Caenorhabditis elegans: one gene and its partners. The protein of the gene in region 3 interacts with the protein of the main gene of each other region in a pairwise test. Each region holds a gene or a part of one and is shown on either strand. Other genes may lie near its edges.

Region 1 (4,976 bases), on a different chromosome or scaffold from region 3:
AAAAGAAGCATATACAGACGAAAAACTACCTTGCGCCTATTCATCTGTAAAAAACGTTTACAAATATTTGAAGCCAAAATACAAGTCGTTAAAGTATGAACAAGTCGAAAAGGTTCTCGAAGATTTGGAATCTTTTACGCTTCACCGCCCGAATCAATCGCGATTCCCGCGTCGGAAAACAGTCTCACCTGGTCTTTATGCATCTCTTCAAATTGATCTCGCAGATATGTCCCGGTACAAGAAGGAAAACGACGGAGTAACCTTTCTACTAGTCTGTATAGATATTTACTCTCGACGGCTTTTTGTAAAAACGTTAAAGTCTAAAAAAGGACAAGAAGTGGCTCTAGCTCTACAAGACATTTTTAAAGAAATTGGTGTCACACCAATGACAATTTACAGTGATGATGGAAAGGAATTTTACAACTCGCATGTCAAAGAGTTGTTGGCCAAGAATTTTGTGAATCTATTTTCACCCAAAAGCGAAATAAAGTGTGCAATTGTGGAGAGGGCAAACAGGACTCTGAAAACTCGATTGGCAAAGTACATGACTCAAAAGTACAACCGACGTTATGTGGACGTTTTACAACAAGTTGTGAATGGTATCAACAATAGCGTTAATCGTGGAATTGGTAAAAAACCAGTAGACGTTGAGCGGGGAGATTTTTCAACTCCGATGCCTGTAGACAGCGTTAAAATCAAATTCAGAGTAGGAGATCACGTCAGAATCGCTGCAAAACGAGGACAATTTGACAAGGGCTACGAACAAGGATGGACTACAGAAGTTTATGTAATTTCCAAAGTGTTTGCAAGGAAACCAGTTACCTACAATATAGTAGACACTAATGGAGAAAAAATTGCCGGAATATTCTACACTCGAGAACTGACTAAATGCACATATAAACCAGACGCTCAGTATCGAATTGAAAAGATTTTAGCCACTCGTACAGTACGCGGAAAGAAACAGCACCTCGTTCGTTGGGACGGATATGGTGCCGAATTTGACTCTTGGATTGATGCATCAGGAGTATTAACTTTATGATTTGTCCATGCCAATTTCAAGAGCCGCCCACTTTTCTGAATTCAATCTTCATTTGTGCTCAATTTTTTGTTGTACGTAGTGACTTTTTTTGATAATGTCCTCATTCTCAAACTTTTCTTATCCTGATCCTTCACCTGCGAACGTCTTTTGGAATTTTGAAACTCTTCAAAACTCGTCTCAGGAACCAGAGTTTTTGCCATCAAATGTTTCTGATATTCCTATGTCGGAGAAGAAGGGAAAGAAAAATGTGAAAACTTTTAAAACGACACACACGGCTGCCAAGACAACGGAACCCCAGTTTGCTTTACGAAAAATGGAACCACTTGCCGCTATCCTGTTTTGTTCAGATTGTCAGGACGGTGCACAATATGATGGGTCAACTTTGAAAATTGACGTTTGTAAGAAATGCCGAAAGAATATTGGAAATTATAAAATTTGATTGATTGTATAATAATGTTTGAATTGTTAGTAATGCATGTAACACTAATACTTATCCTTATCTGTAATTGAATAAATAATAAAAAATGTAAAACATGTTTTTTGTAGGGAATGCTCTTTAAAGTTTTCGATAACGGGTGGAGAACCCTTTATCGAAAAACTTCAAATAGCTTTGAATGCATCATTTTTCAAAAGCACAGGTAAATTGAAAAAACTTGTTCATCAACTTTTACTCTTGAAACCCCCAGGGGCGCGGGGAGGGGGGCCTCCTTCCTTCATCAATCTCGGTAACGCTTGCATTCATTCAAATCGCGTTTGGGAAAAAGACGTCTCCTAAACGGCAGATGTTTCGAAATAGAAAAGAGTCAAATGCTACTGGGTTTGCGACTACGTCTATAGTGTATTGGTATGGCATCTGTTTTAGACGAATAGTGTCCTGGGTTCGAACCCGTCCCCTGGTTGAATGAACCAAGAACATCAAAAATGTCTTACCAGTCTCTTTCTCTAAATCTCTCAAAAACGCACACTATTTAAAAATCGATTCTTTCTTACTATAACCAAATCTCTCACTCTCTCGTCTTTCTCTAAATCTCTCGTTTCACACACTATTCTTGGTCAGACGGTAAAAAAAAACCAAGGAATGGTAAATTGTACACTCTACCACTACTAGCGTAATATTTCAAATTGTTTGAAAAACATTTTTTTTTCATTTTTTTCTGTTTCTAGTAGTTTTTAAATGAAGTGTTTCAAAAACCAAACTATTCACTTAAACATTATCGAGTTATTATTAAAAAATTATTTTGAGTTGGTTTCCATTTATATACAAGCATCAGAGAAAAAAATGAACAAACCAATTGAAATTCCGACGACACCTTTTTCATCTTTAGTCAACTCAATTGTCTCCGATTGAATTCTCATTCCGAGCCGGTCTTCTTCGATTTGGAACTGTAAAATATGGTTAAAAAACAATAATTAATTTGAAAACCTACAAATTATTTGTTAGAAAGTGAAACAGTAAGTTTTTTCACGATTATGGTAACCAGAGGTGGGCGGATATTTTTTCGGATATTTTCTAATAATGAATTTATCAATAAGTATTGATGTAGTTATTCTGGAAGAAATGTATCCAAACCAAAGAGTAACTATTAAGCAACATTTTAATATGATAAAACCTAGAAAAATTCTACAAGTTTTCCTTACCGAGACCTTAAAACTTATTAGCCGAGCAACATCGGATATCGGATATTACGGATATTACGGATATCGGATAATGGACTTGCATATCGTTTATACAGAAAACTTGTAGAATTTTTCTAGGTTTTATCATATTAAAATGTTTCTTAATAGTTACTCTTTTGTTCGGATACATTTCTTCCAGAATAACTACATCAATACTTATTGATAAATTCATTATTAGAAAATATCAGAAAAAAATATCCGCCCACCTCTGATGGTAACTATAATAGTTATGATTTTTATTGTTCTTTTTTAATAAAAACATGAAACATTCCAGTTTTTTTAGCTCAATTTCAAACTACACAAACAATTGAAAAAAAATACTTACATCCATAATTAATTTTTCTGCTTTAAAATCGATTGTCACTCCTTCACTCCTTCTAGCAGTACTAAAAGCTTCACGAGCAAAAAGAGCACAGAGACGGAGAGATGTAGAGACTACGAGAGAGTGTAGAGAAGCGGGAGACGCAGACAATCATGCACACTGAAAATGGAGAATGAGAGGAGAAGGGAGGAGATGCATGGAAGATGAGCTCAATGTGCATTTGATTCAAAATGGGGTTAGTGGCAGAATTTAAGACGACAAGAGAGGCCTTGGGAAGCTTGAGAAAATATATTGTAGGCCGTGCATGAATCCTCAAAATGTCTGCATGTCTAAAAAGCGACCACTAATGAAAACGAAAATTTCGTAAATCTTCAAAAAAATTATCAACTACAGAAGAAATGCCTGGATTTAAAACTCCTTGCTGAAACAGAGAAAAAACAAATTGATGAACTATTTTTCACTGAGATTCTGAGATTGTATTAAACCAGAAACATAACTAAATTTATATTTGGCAAAAGACTGAACTGCAATTAAAATTTTCAGTTACAAACTATATCCTACAAACTACCAACTAGACAAATTTCTCTTTGACGGAAATTTGTCGCAGGAATACAAATTGATAAAGGGAATACGATATACATATTTAACGCTCATTAACTACATTAATTTTTTGCGAGATGCTTTTAAAAACTTGTTGAAACAGAACAATATTTTCACTAAAAATTCGCAACCTTTTCACAGAGTTTATACATTTTCGGCGTAAGTGTAAAAAAAATCTCAATGAATTCAGATTCTGCAATTTTCCTTGTAAATTCCAGGAAAACTCCCGTTTTTTAAACCAAAATTTAAAAAAAACGAGAACTTTGTAAATCTACACTAATACCAGTTTTCCAAAGTTGAGGTTAAAATTGCAGCATGGAACCGATTAGAAACTACAGAAGGTAATTTTTTTTAAAAACTCACTGAAACAGGAAAAAAATTAATAAAATGTTTTCATTTTTTATAGACTCTGAAAATGTGTTGAGCTAGAAACATAGTAAAATTTCTTGAAATTTATATATTGCCGCAAACAGAGAAACTTTGAACTAAAGTTCACCGTTACAAGATACTTTTAAGGACTTCGTGAAACAGAACATTATTGTCACTAAGGTTTTGAATATTTTCCACAAAGTTTTTTGTGATCAGTTAACTAGTTAGTGAAAATAACTGAAAAAATAACTTGAAAATAGGAAATGTGTAACTTTTTCTTAGTTTTCAGAAAAAAAAATCTCTAAATTGTTATATGAAGTTGGAAAACCAAAGTTGTTCGATTTAAGAACCAAAATAGTATTAAACCGAAAGCATAACAAAATTGTCTGCAATTAATATTTTGACAATAACTGAATTGGAATTAAAGTTGACAGAATTATTATGGGCTACATATCCACTGATTCCTAGCGGAATAATAAAATTCATCTCGAAGAGATACCTTTGAAAACTTATTGAAACGGGACATTATTTTTTCTACAAATTCACAAATGTTTCACAGGAGTTATACTGGACAAAGCATATGCCTAATTGAAAAAAAACAAAATAAAAACTGCAAATTGTAACACTTTGACAAAAACCGAATCAAATTGACTGAAACAAAAAAATAACATTGTCGGAATTTAATTCTATTGAATCGAAATGAAAGTTTTCCTTACTTCGCACAAAAAACAAAATGGCTGGAGTTAACCGGCAAAAATGTCGAAAAACGTCATTGAAAACCCTCCAAATTACGGATATTTAATTTGAAACACATATTTTAACAAATTCAAATATGAATATTAAACATTTTTAAAATTTCTACACGAAAATGTAGCTTATAATAAGGCTTCATTCTTATTGAACTAGACTTATTATAAGCTACATTTCCACAGTATTCTAAAAGATCAATAAAATTCATCTCAATGAGAT
Region 2 (4,618 bases), on a different chromosome or scaffold from region 3:
CAATTTTAAACTACTGATCTTTGTTTTTGAATAAAAATGAACAATGTATAATATATGTAGTTTTAAAGATGAATTTCAATAAGCTTTTTCTTGTACAGTGGTGCATTTATTAAACCATTTTCACAATATTCAATTTATCTAACTAGAAAATAGCCACTGCTCTTTTCTAGTCAGCAAGCACATGAAAGCCGCCGGCACTTTTCACGCTTCTTCTCTCCGCTCTATCTTTCATGCTTCTCCGCACGAAAGCAAAAGAGAGAGAGAGAGAGAGAGTGGGAGAAGGGGCAAGAACTTTTACGCAGAGCGTGTTGCATGTTCACATGCCGTCGATAGCTCAGTTGGTAGAGCGGAGGACTGTAGAGTCAGCGGGTATCCTTAGGTCACTGGTTCGAATCCGGTTCGACGGATTTCTTTTTTGATTTTTTCGATTTATTTTTTCATGGTATTTTCCAACGCTAGTTTTTATTGCCCTATCGTTTAAAGACACAAAATTTGCAACAAAAAGTATAAAGATTTTTATTGGAAAACAAAAAAAAATCAGAAATTTTCAGTAACAAATAAATAAAATCATTAGATCAATAATTAGTCATGTAGGTCCCGCTCTGTTTCAAATTCAAGATCAGTCATTGAAGAAATATTTTTGTTCAAAAAAATGAGCATTTTCAAATTTTCATCAGACAAAGTATTTCTGTACTCATCCATAGTCGCTCGATCTGTTGAAAATAGTTTCTCGGCTGCACTAGATCCCGTCGGACAAATTATAAAACGTCGAGCGAATTTGGCAAGTCTTGGATAAGAAGCTTTTGTCACATCGTTTAGCCAGAAATCTCTAGGCGTTACATCTTCAACGGCTGTTGAGAGATATCGAGTCACTTCCATTCTCACGGTCAATTTTTCACCAGTTAATGCGTTATGTTTGCCGCGAGATTTAATTTTTTCCTGCAATTTATTTGTTAACTTAACTATGTTTTGAGTTTTAAATACCTGTATATAAGCGTCAAAATCAAGTTTCTGAGATTTTGGAGCTGGTCCACACAATTCTGAAGAAATCTCTTCAAATGTTCTGTTTTTGTAATCCATCGTTTCAAATTCAGTTTCAATGGCCTTTATCAAATTGGAAGTGTCACTGTCGTTTGTATATAAATCCTGAAATATACAACTTAACAAATCTTGTTCTCATATTTTAAAGTTATACCTTATATCGCGGATCAAGTAGAGTGGAAAATTTCAAGTACTGGCAAGATGTGTATTTGTGCAGCTCTCTTTCCATGTGTTCTTTAACTGCCAAAAATGCTTCCGGCTGATTTTGTGTTGATTCGTATGCTTTCACAAGATAATCACAGTATGGAATGATCACTGAAGCAGACGACTCTTTTGACTGGAAAAAAAACATAGAGGGGTAATGATGATAGTAGCAAATTTACCTCTGATAATTTAGAAAACTTGCTAAGTGGTGCCAGAATTTCCACGACATCTCTCATAAGGTCCCAATCGCTCGATTGCAGTTTTTGAAGTTCTTCAATCACTTGTTGGCATTCTATGACCCTCCCAAAGAATTCTTGCAAGAAACACCAACATTCGTCTGAGCAATGATTGAGGCACAAATTTGGAATTTCCATTAAACTTTGGATTTTCTCTGATGTTTGCCAGGTGACAGAACTGTTTTTCAAATTTTTGACAAGTAGCTTGCAGTTCAACAAAACTCTGTTTATTTGTCCAATTTTTGATTTTGCCTCACAAGCTGCCAAATGTAGCTGTTGATTGAAGCAATTAACTGAAGAAATTTTCAAATGGTCACATGCATTTTCTACAATTGAATTGTAATCTCTGCAGACAACTTCTACTTTTCCATTTAAATTGAACCGGGCCATCAGGTTATCAAGTTCAGCAGCAACATAGACTCCGTTGTGTACGTCCTTTTGATAGTTGATAACTCCAATTGTACGACGAACTACTTTCTCGTTTTTCAAAAAGTTTCCAGTAACTCCAATCATCTCCTGTATCGAACCTTTGTCGGACCAAATGTCAACAGAGAGAACAACGTGCTCAGCCAAATTCAATTCCATTCTTAGTTGGTCTTCGTACTCTTGATACAATTTTGGCAACTCGTATGATATCATTGATGAGGGACTTTTCAACTCATAATCCGGACATACACTTGTCATAAATCGCTTGAATCCTGCTCGATCAGTCGTCGTCATTGGCATTGAATCCATGCAAATCATTTCCATAATAGACTTGGTGATATTGTTATCATTATACAGTTTCATGAATTCTGGTTCAAAAAATGATTGCATTGTGAAATCTTCAGTCTTCATATTGTTACTTTGAAAACTGAATTCCGAAGAATCCTCCTGAGCTATCATAACTGGTGGCTCTTCTTGAAGAACATATTCTTTTGGGTGAACTCGCGTCAAATGACTGATAAGGTTATGTGTTGAACCTGGAACAATGTTTATTAAAAACACTATTTTAAACAAAGAAAATTTATACCTCTACTCCCTCTCGCCAAAATTTTGTTGCATAAATTGCATTTGTTGCGGCCATCTTGAAGTTTCAGAAAATAGTCCCACACTCGTGATTTTACCATGTCCTGTAAGACCAATAATATTTCAATAAAAAATGAGGTACAATGTCATTTGATGGGTCCAAAAACACGAAATTTGGGCTCACATCGAATGAAAATGACAAACCACTAAAATATATAAAATAAGAGAGAAGAAAATAAAGAAAAAAATATTGTAAAAATGCGAAACATTTTAAATTAGAAATTCTATTTCCGGGCACATTAAAATTTTGACTAGATTTCCTATATCTGCTATTCAAAAATTTTATATTCAAAAATTTTTTGAACAATTATATAAGAAAGAAAAAAATGTCGACCGACTAATATAAATTCAATACGAATAAAGAGTGGAGAACAAATGGAGACGACAGACTCAAAAGATGTGTGCGGCAGATGGGATACTCGGCACATCGGCGTATGTATGCCGACAGCCACAATGTCTGTGCACTCCACCATTGCATTAGTCTCTCCTGTTACTATTACCAACTAGCATGACACAGTTCGCCAATCGCCCCAAAGACTGTGACATCTATAGGGAATAAATAAACATCATACAAATTATGAAAAATAATTTTTTTTTCAGAAAACAAAAAATCGTGTAGACAATATTCTACAAACATTCAGAACTGTAAACGAAAAAGTAAAAAACTGGGAGGTCTGAAACAGAAACCATGTCTTTGGTGTCTAATTGATATTTTTGGGCACAACAATTTTGCACAATAATTTGTGCAGAAAAAGGATACTATAAGTCAGTGTGCCAAGTATTTTCCAGAATAGAGATGCTGAAGTAGTAGAAAATAATTCGAGAAAACGAAAAACGAATGTGGTCTATTGCGGACGGATACTCCAAAAACGGCATCAGAAACAAACCATGAATACCCAATTAAACAACACCAACAGGTATGCGCTAAATAATCATTTATCTTTCTATATCTACTTGTATTTTATATTTATACCAGCCGTGGACCGCACCTACGGCGCGGCCCCCGACTATTTGAGAAAGCACATTAGATATACGGTGTCTCTCGCGGACCTCGATCGATGTCTGCTGCGCACTTAGCATAAGGTTTCCCAAAATTTCGTTGCTCTGATCAAAGATCAAACTACATAGGGACAGAAGGACACGCGCTTTATATATAGTAAATGATTTTTTACATTTCTTTTCATTTCATATGCAGAATGTGACGGGTTATAAGAGAATTTTTTTCAGAACACCGATTTTGAGTTAAAAGTCAACAAAAAATTTCGGTGCCTCATGCTGGAATCGAACCAGCGACCTTCTGTTTACTAGACAGACGCTCTGCCACTGAGCCAATGAGGCGGTTGTACGGAAAGCCTGGCATGACTTTGAAGCGTGTTTTATTTCTAATACAACTGTATGATCTTTTGTATAGTTGAATGTAGGCCTTGACTGTAAAATTCATGTTTGTTAAAACGCTCCGAAAGAAACCAAGAAACTGCACAATTTTTTTAGTGTTCATTATTTCAAGTAAAATATTCATTGCAAGTCATGGTAATGGATTGAATCTTTCTACCTTGGAAATGGGAGAAAAAATATGCTAAAGCAAAGTCAATACCCGTTGGAGCATTGAAATCTAAATAAAACAAGTTATCAGTGTAAATTATTATAACAACAGAAGCAGTAATACAAATGTATAAATCCATGGTATATTTGCATTACCTTCGATGTTCTTGGAGTCGTTGTTTTTCTTGTAGCTTTCAATTTTGATTTTGTGATCAGCTTCCCCATTTATTTCAATCATTCTTTCTTGTTGTCTTGGTATTCGGCGAAATCTCTGAAATATTTTAAGTACAATTGTATGTTTTATTTTCTCCTGTATTCCAGTAGAGCAATAAGTTTCAAAAAAGTAAGAAGCACCGAGATGCGAAACATTTTTTATGATGTGGTCTTTTTTCAACTAACCTGTACAGTTACTACTTCTTCTTCGCTTTCATCTTCAACATTTTCAGAGTCACTATATTCATTTTCATTATATTCCAATTTTTCTTCCTCCGAAAGATCCACATATTCTCCATTAACAAAATTTTTTC
Region 3 (3,670 bases):
AAGAATTTTTGGGAGCAGGAGGAGGAGAAGAAGAAGGACACAAACATACAGGAAAAGAGCAAACAGAGACAGTGAGCAAGTGTGATCAGGAGCAGGTACACGGATTATAAGCACTGAGACACATTGACTCGATCAAATTTGAGTACTGATCAGACGGTGGACTTTCGAATTGACCCCACTTTCTCTAATATTAGTACAGAGTCAGGAAGCTTCAATTGAAATCATATGGAAAATGAAGCAGAGCTATAGTAGAAAAGAAATTCACAATGAAATGGGATTCAAAATTGCCTCAATTCAAATTCTCACACAAATTGCTTGAGACAAAAAAGCTCTTGAAATTGGATACTTCCACTTCTTCAGCTTCATACCAAAAATGAAAACTGCTCAATGGGGCGAGATTACTTAGAAAATGGAAGGGGAGCCGAGTCTTCAAGGAGCGAAAATCGATGGGCGACAGAGGGTGAAAAACTGAGCGGAGAGCAAAATAGTTGGGAGGGAACTAGTAGTTATTTATTCCAAACTATCCTATTCGATATTTTGTATTCAACTGAAAAAAAACCTAAGCCGAATTGTACCTTCAAAAAAATATAATAATCTCAATGTTTTGTCGAAATTTGAGCACAAAACTATTGTTTATAGAATGTTAAAATTTATATATAGTACACGTGAATTTTGAAGTTGAGAAATCAATGGGCAAATTGAAACCGTATTGTGTTAATTTATCATTGGATAGTTTCACGAAGAGTGAGCAGAAAGTCGAGGAGATTGTTTTCCAAATCACATCCATCCAAAATTCGCTTTTCGCAAGTCTGAAATTGAACTTTCATTTCTATTTATGTATTCATCTTCCACCAACCGCAACCAGTTTCCCCATTACTCCAATATTCTCGTCATTGATAACATCTTCATCCATCAACTGTTGGAAACAACGACGAATGAAAGCAACACCAGTGCACGATTTTGTGATATCCTTTGTCAATGCAATTATTTGGGGAACATCAGCAGTCAGGATTGATTTGCAAACGTTTGAAATGAGTAAACTGTCCGAAGAACCACGGAGATAGCAATTTCGAGCATTGTCATCGCCCTGGAAATATAAAGTACTATTTTTACACAATATTTATAGAAAAAACAACTAACACTTTTCAAAATTGGAGCCAATGACTGAAGTGTACATACAGCTCGTCTCAAATCACCTTCTGAATATTCCATAACTTGTTTCAGTTCATCATCACTCATGGGAGTTCCTTCTGCATCACAAATTGTTCTCAATCTAAAAACACCGAAAGTTATAAAAAACACTTAATTTTGAAATTTCACCTTTGAACTTGAATCTCGGCTGGAAGTGATTTGAATCGGAACTTGGCACAACGGCTCACAACTGGAGGAATCAATCGGGAAACATAGTTGCAGATGAGAATGAAGCGAGTAGTTTTGGAAAAATCTTCAATAACTCTGCGCATTGCTGCTTGTGCTTCTCGGGTCATCGCATCAACTTCATCAAGTATGATAATTTTCAATTTGAGAACATCTTCCCTATGGCTGTGGCCCAAAGATGACTTGGAGAAGGATTGAATCTAAACAGGAAACGTTTTTATAATTATGGAATTCTTAATTAATTAAAAATCAGTGGCAATCTTACTTTTTGACGAACAACTGCAATACCACGCTCGTCCGATGCATTCAAATCAAGAACCCTATCGCTGAAAATATAATTATTGGAAAAAATTATCACCCAGTATTTCACTTACTGGAAAATATTTTTTGGGAAGAGTTGGCGGCAAAATGCAAGAGCTGCTGACGTCTTACCAGTACCTGGTGGTCCATAGAACAAAAGATGTGGTAACTGAAAAATTAAAACGATTAGTTTGAATAATTTTTTAAGCAATACGTCTCTTCCTTGAAGCGCTCCTTTCAGCATTGTGACGACTTCATCCTGGTATGCAATATCGTCTAGCGTTTTTGGACGACTGAAAATTTGAATTTACTTTGCAAATCGAAAAACAAAAAACTAACTATTTTTCTGTCCAGGTGAGCACCTTTGGTCTTTTATTGTCAACTTCCATTGGTTCTTCCATTGTTTCTGTTAAATTAATGAATTTTTCATAAAATAAAGACATTATACAATATAAAAATGAAGAATTTATTGAAAATAAACTGCCAGAGAGAAAAAGTATGCAACACTCCCGCCGAGAGTGTTTGAAATGGTGTACGGTACATTTTCGTGCTAGGAGTTAGATGTGCAGGCAGCAACGAGAGGGGGAGAGATTTTTTTGGGCCTTGTGAAATTAACGTGAGTTTTCTGGTCATCTGACTAATCATGTTGGTTTTTTGTTGGTTTATTTTGTTTTTATCTTTGTTTTTATCCAGATTAGGAAATTTAAATTTTATGAATTTATAATGAGGTCAAACATTCAGTCCCAGCGTTTTTCCTGTTCTCACTGTTTAGTCGAATTTTTATTTTAGGCTTTCAACAAATGTTCTAACTGTCTTATTTGTGACCTCACTTTTTATATTTTTTTAATTTTTAAAAATATTAGAAGTTTCTAGGATAATTTTTTCGACTTTTATTCTCTCTACCGTCCGCACTCTTCTTACTTTTAAATTAAATTGTTTTTTTTTCAGTTGGGAAACACTTTGCTCACTCCGTAGCAGCCATGGGAAAAGAAAAGGTTCATATCAACATCGTCGTCATCGGACACGTCGACTCCGGAAAGTCCACCACAACTGGACACTTGATCTACAAGTGCGGAGGAATTGACAAGAGAACCATCGAGAAGTTCGAGAAGGAGGCTCAGGAGGTAAATAGTACAAACAACTAGTTTGAAAGATTTTCTCACCCGATTTTTTTCAGATGGGTAAGGGATCTTTCAAGTACGCTTGGGTCCTCGACAAGCTGAAGGCCGAGCGTGAACGTGGTATCACCATCGATATCGCTCTCTGGAAGTTCGAGACTGCCAAGTACTACATCACCATCATCGATGCCCCAGGACATCGTGATTTCATCAAGAACATGATCACTGGTACGACTTTGTTAAATTTTTAGCTCGTTTATAAAACTTTAATTGCAGGAACATCCCAGGCCGATTGCGCCGTCTTGGTCGTCGCTTGCGGAACTGGAGAATTCGAGGCCGGAATCTCCAAGAACGGACAAACTCGCGAGCACGCTCTTCTTGCCCAGACCCTTGGAGTCAAGCAACTCATCGTTGCCTGCAACAAGATGGACTCCACCGAGCCACCATTCTCTGAGGCCCGTTTCACCGAGATCACCAACGAGGTTTCTGGATTCATCAAGAAGATCGGATACAATCCAAAGGCTGTTCCATTCGTCCCAATCTCTGGATTCAACGGAGACAACATGCTTGAGGTCTCCTCCAACATGCCATGGTTCAAGGGATGGGCCGTTGAGCGCAAGGAAGGAAACGCTTCCGGAAAGACCCTCCTCGAGGCTCTCGACTCCATCATTCCACCACAACGCCCAACTGACCGACCACTCCGTCTCCCACTCCAGGATGTGTACAAGATCGGAGGAATCGGAACTGTTCCAGTCGGACGTGTTGAGACCGGAATCATCAAGCCAGGAATGGTCGTTACCTTCGCTCCACAAAACGTCACCACTGAAGTCAAGTCCGTTGAGATGCATCACGAATCTCTTCCAGAGGCCGTCCCA

Evidence for each region.
Region 1: the proteins of rfc-4 (region 3) and Y57G11C.22 interact in a two-hybrid assay, tested with the Caenorhabditis elegans proteins (3 studies listed by BioGRID).
Region 2: the proteins of rfc-4 (region 3) and K09A11.1 interact in a two-hybrid assay, tested with the Caenorhabditis elegans proteins (2 studies listed by BioGRID).

Annotation. Positions count from the first base shown.
Region 1 is NC_003282.8:14,835,282-14,840,257, reverse strand, and holds the start of Y57G11C.22 (PRKCA-binding protein), read right to left. Parts: upstream 3,048-4,976; coding exon 3,042-3,047; intron 2,941-3,041; exon of another isoform or gene 2,919-2,940; intron 2,446-2,918; exon of another isoform or gene 2,425-2,445; intron 2,423-2,424; coding exon 2,329-2,422; intron 2,261-2,328; exon of another isoform or gene 2,239-2,260; intron 1-2,238.
Region 2 is NC_003284.9:13,260,472-13,265,089, reverse strand, and holds K09A11.1 (BED-type domain-containing protein), read right to left. Parts: upstream 2,596-4,618; 5' UTR 2,591-2,595; coding exon 2,494-2,590; intron 2,444-2,493; coding exon 1,425-2,443; intron 1,379-1,424; coding exon 1,196-1,378; intron 1,147-1,195; coding exon 985-1,146; intron 940-984; coding exon 583-939; 3' UTR 501-582; downstream 1-500. Other genes in the region: cyp-14A1 (CYtochrome P450 family), read left to right, coding at 1-9; K08H2.10 (CUB domain-containing protein), read right to left, coding at 4,192-4,362, 4,491-4,618.
Region 3 is NC_003281.10:6,970,668-6,974,337, reverse strand, and holds rfc-4 (Replication factor C subunit 4), read right to left. Parts: upstream 2,086-3,670; 5' UTR 2,079-2,085; coding exon 2,017-2,078; intron 1,971-2,016; coding exon 1,892-1,970; intron 1,847-1,891; coding exon 1,752-1,846; intron 1,704-1,751; coding exon 1,643-1,703; intron 1,578-1,642; coding exon 1,321-1,577; intron 1,274-1,320; coding exon 1,141-1,273; intron 1,088-1,140; coding exon 857-1,087; intron 810-856; coding exon 723-809; 3' UTR 621-722; downstream 1-620. Other genes in the region: eef-1A.1 (Elongation factor 1-alpha), read left to right, coding at 2,658-2,801, 2,855-3,023, 3,072-3,670. UniProt on the Caenorhabditis elegans protein: The elongation of primed DNA templates by DNA polymerase delta and epsilon requires the action of the accessory proteins PCNA and activator 1. This subunit may be involved in the elongation of the multiprimed DNA template.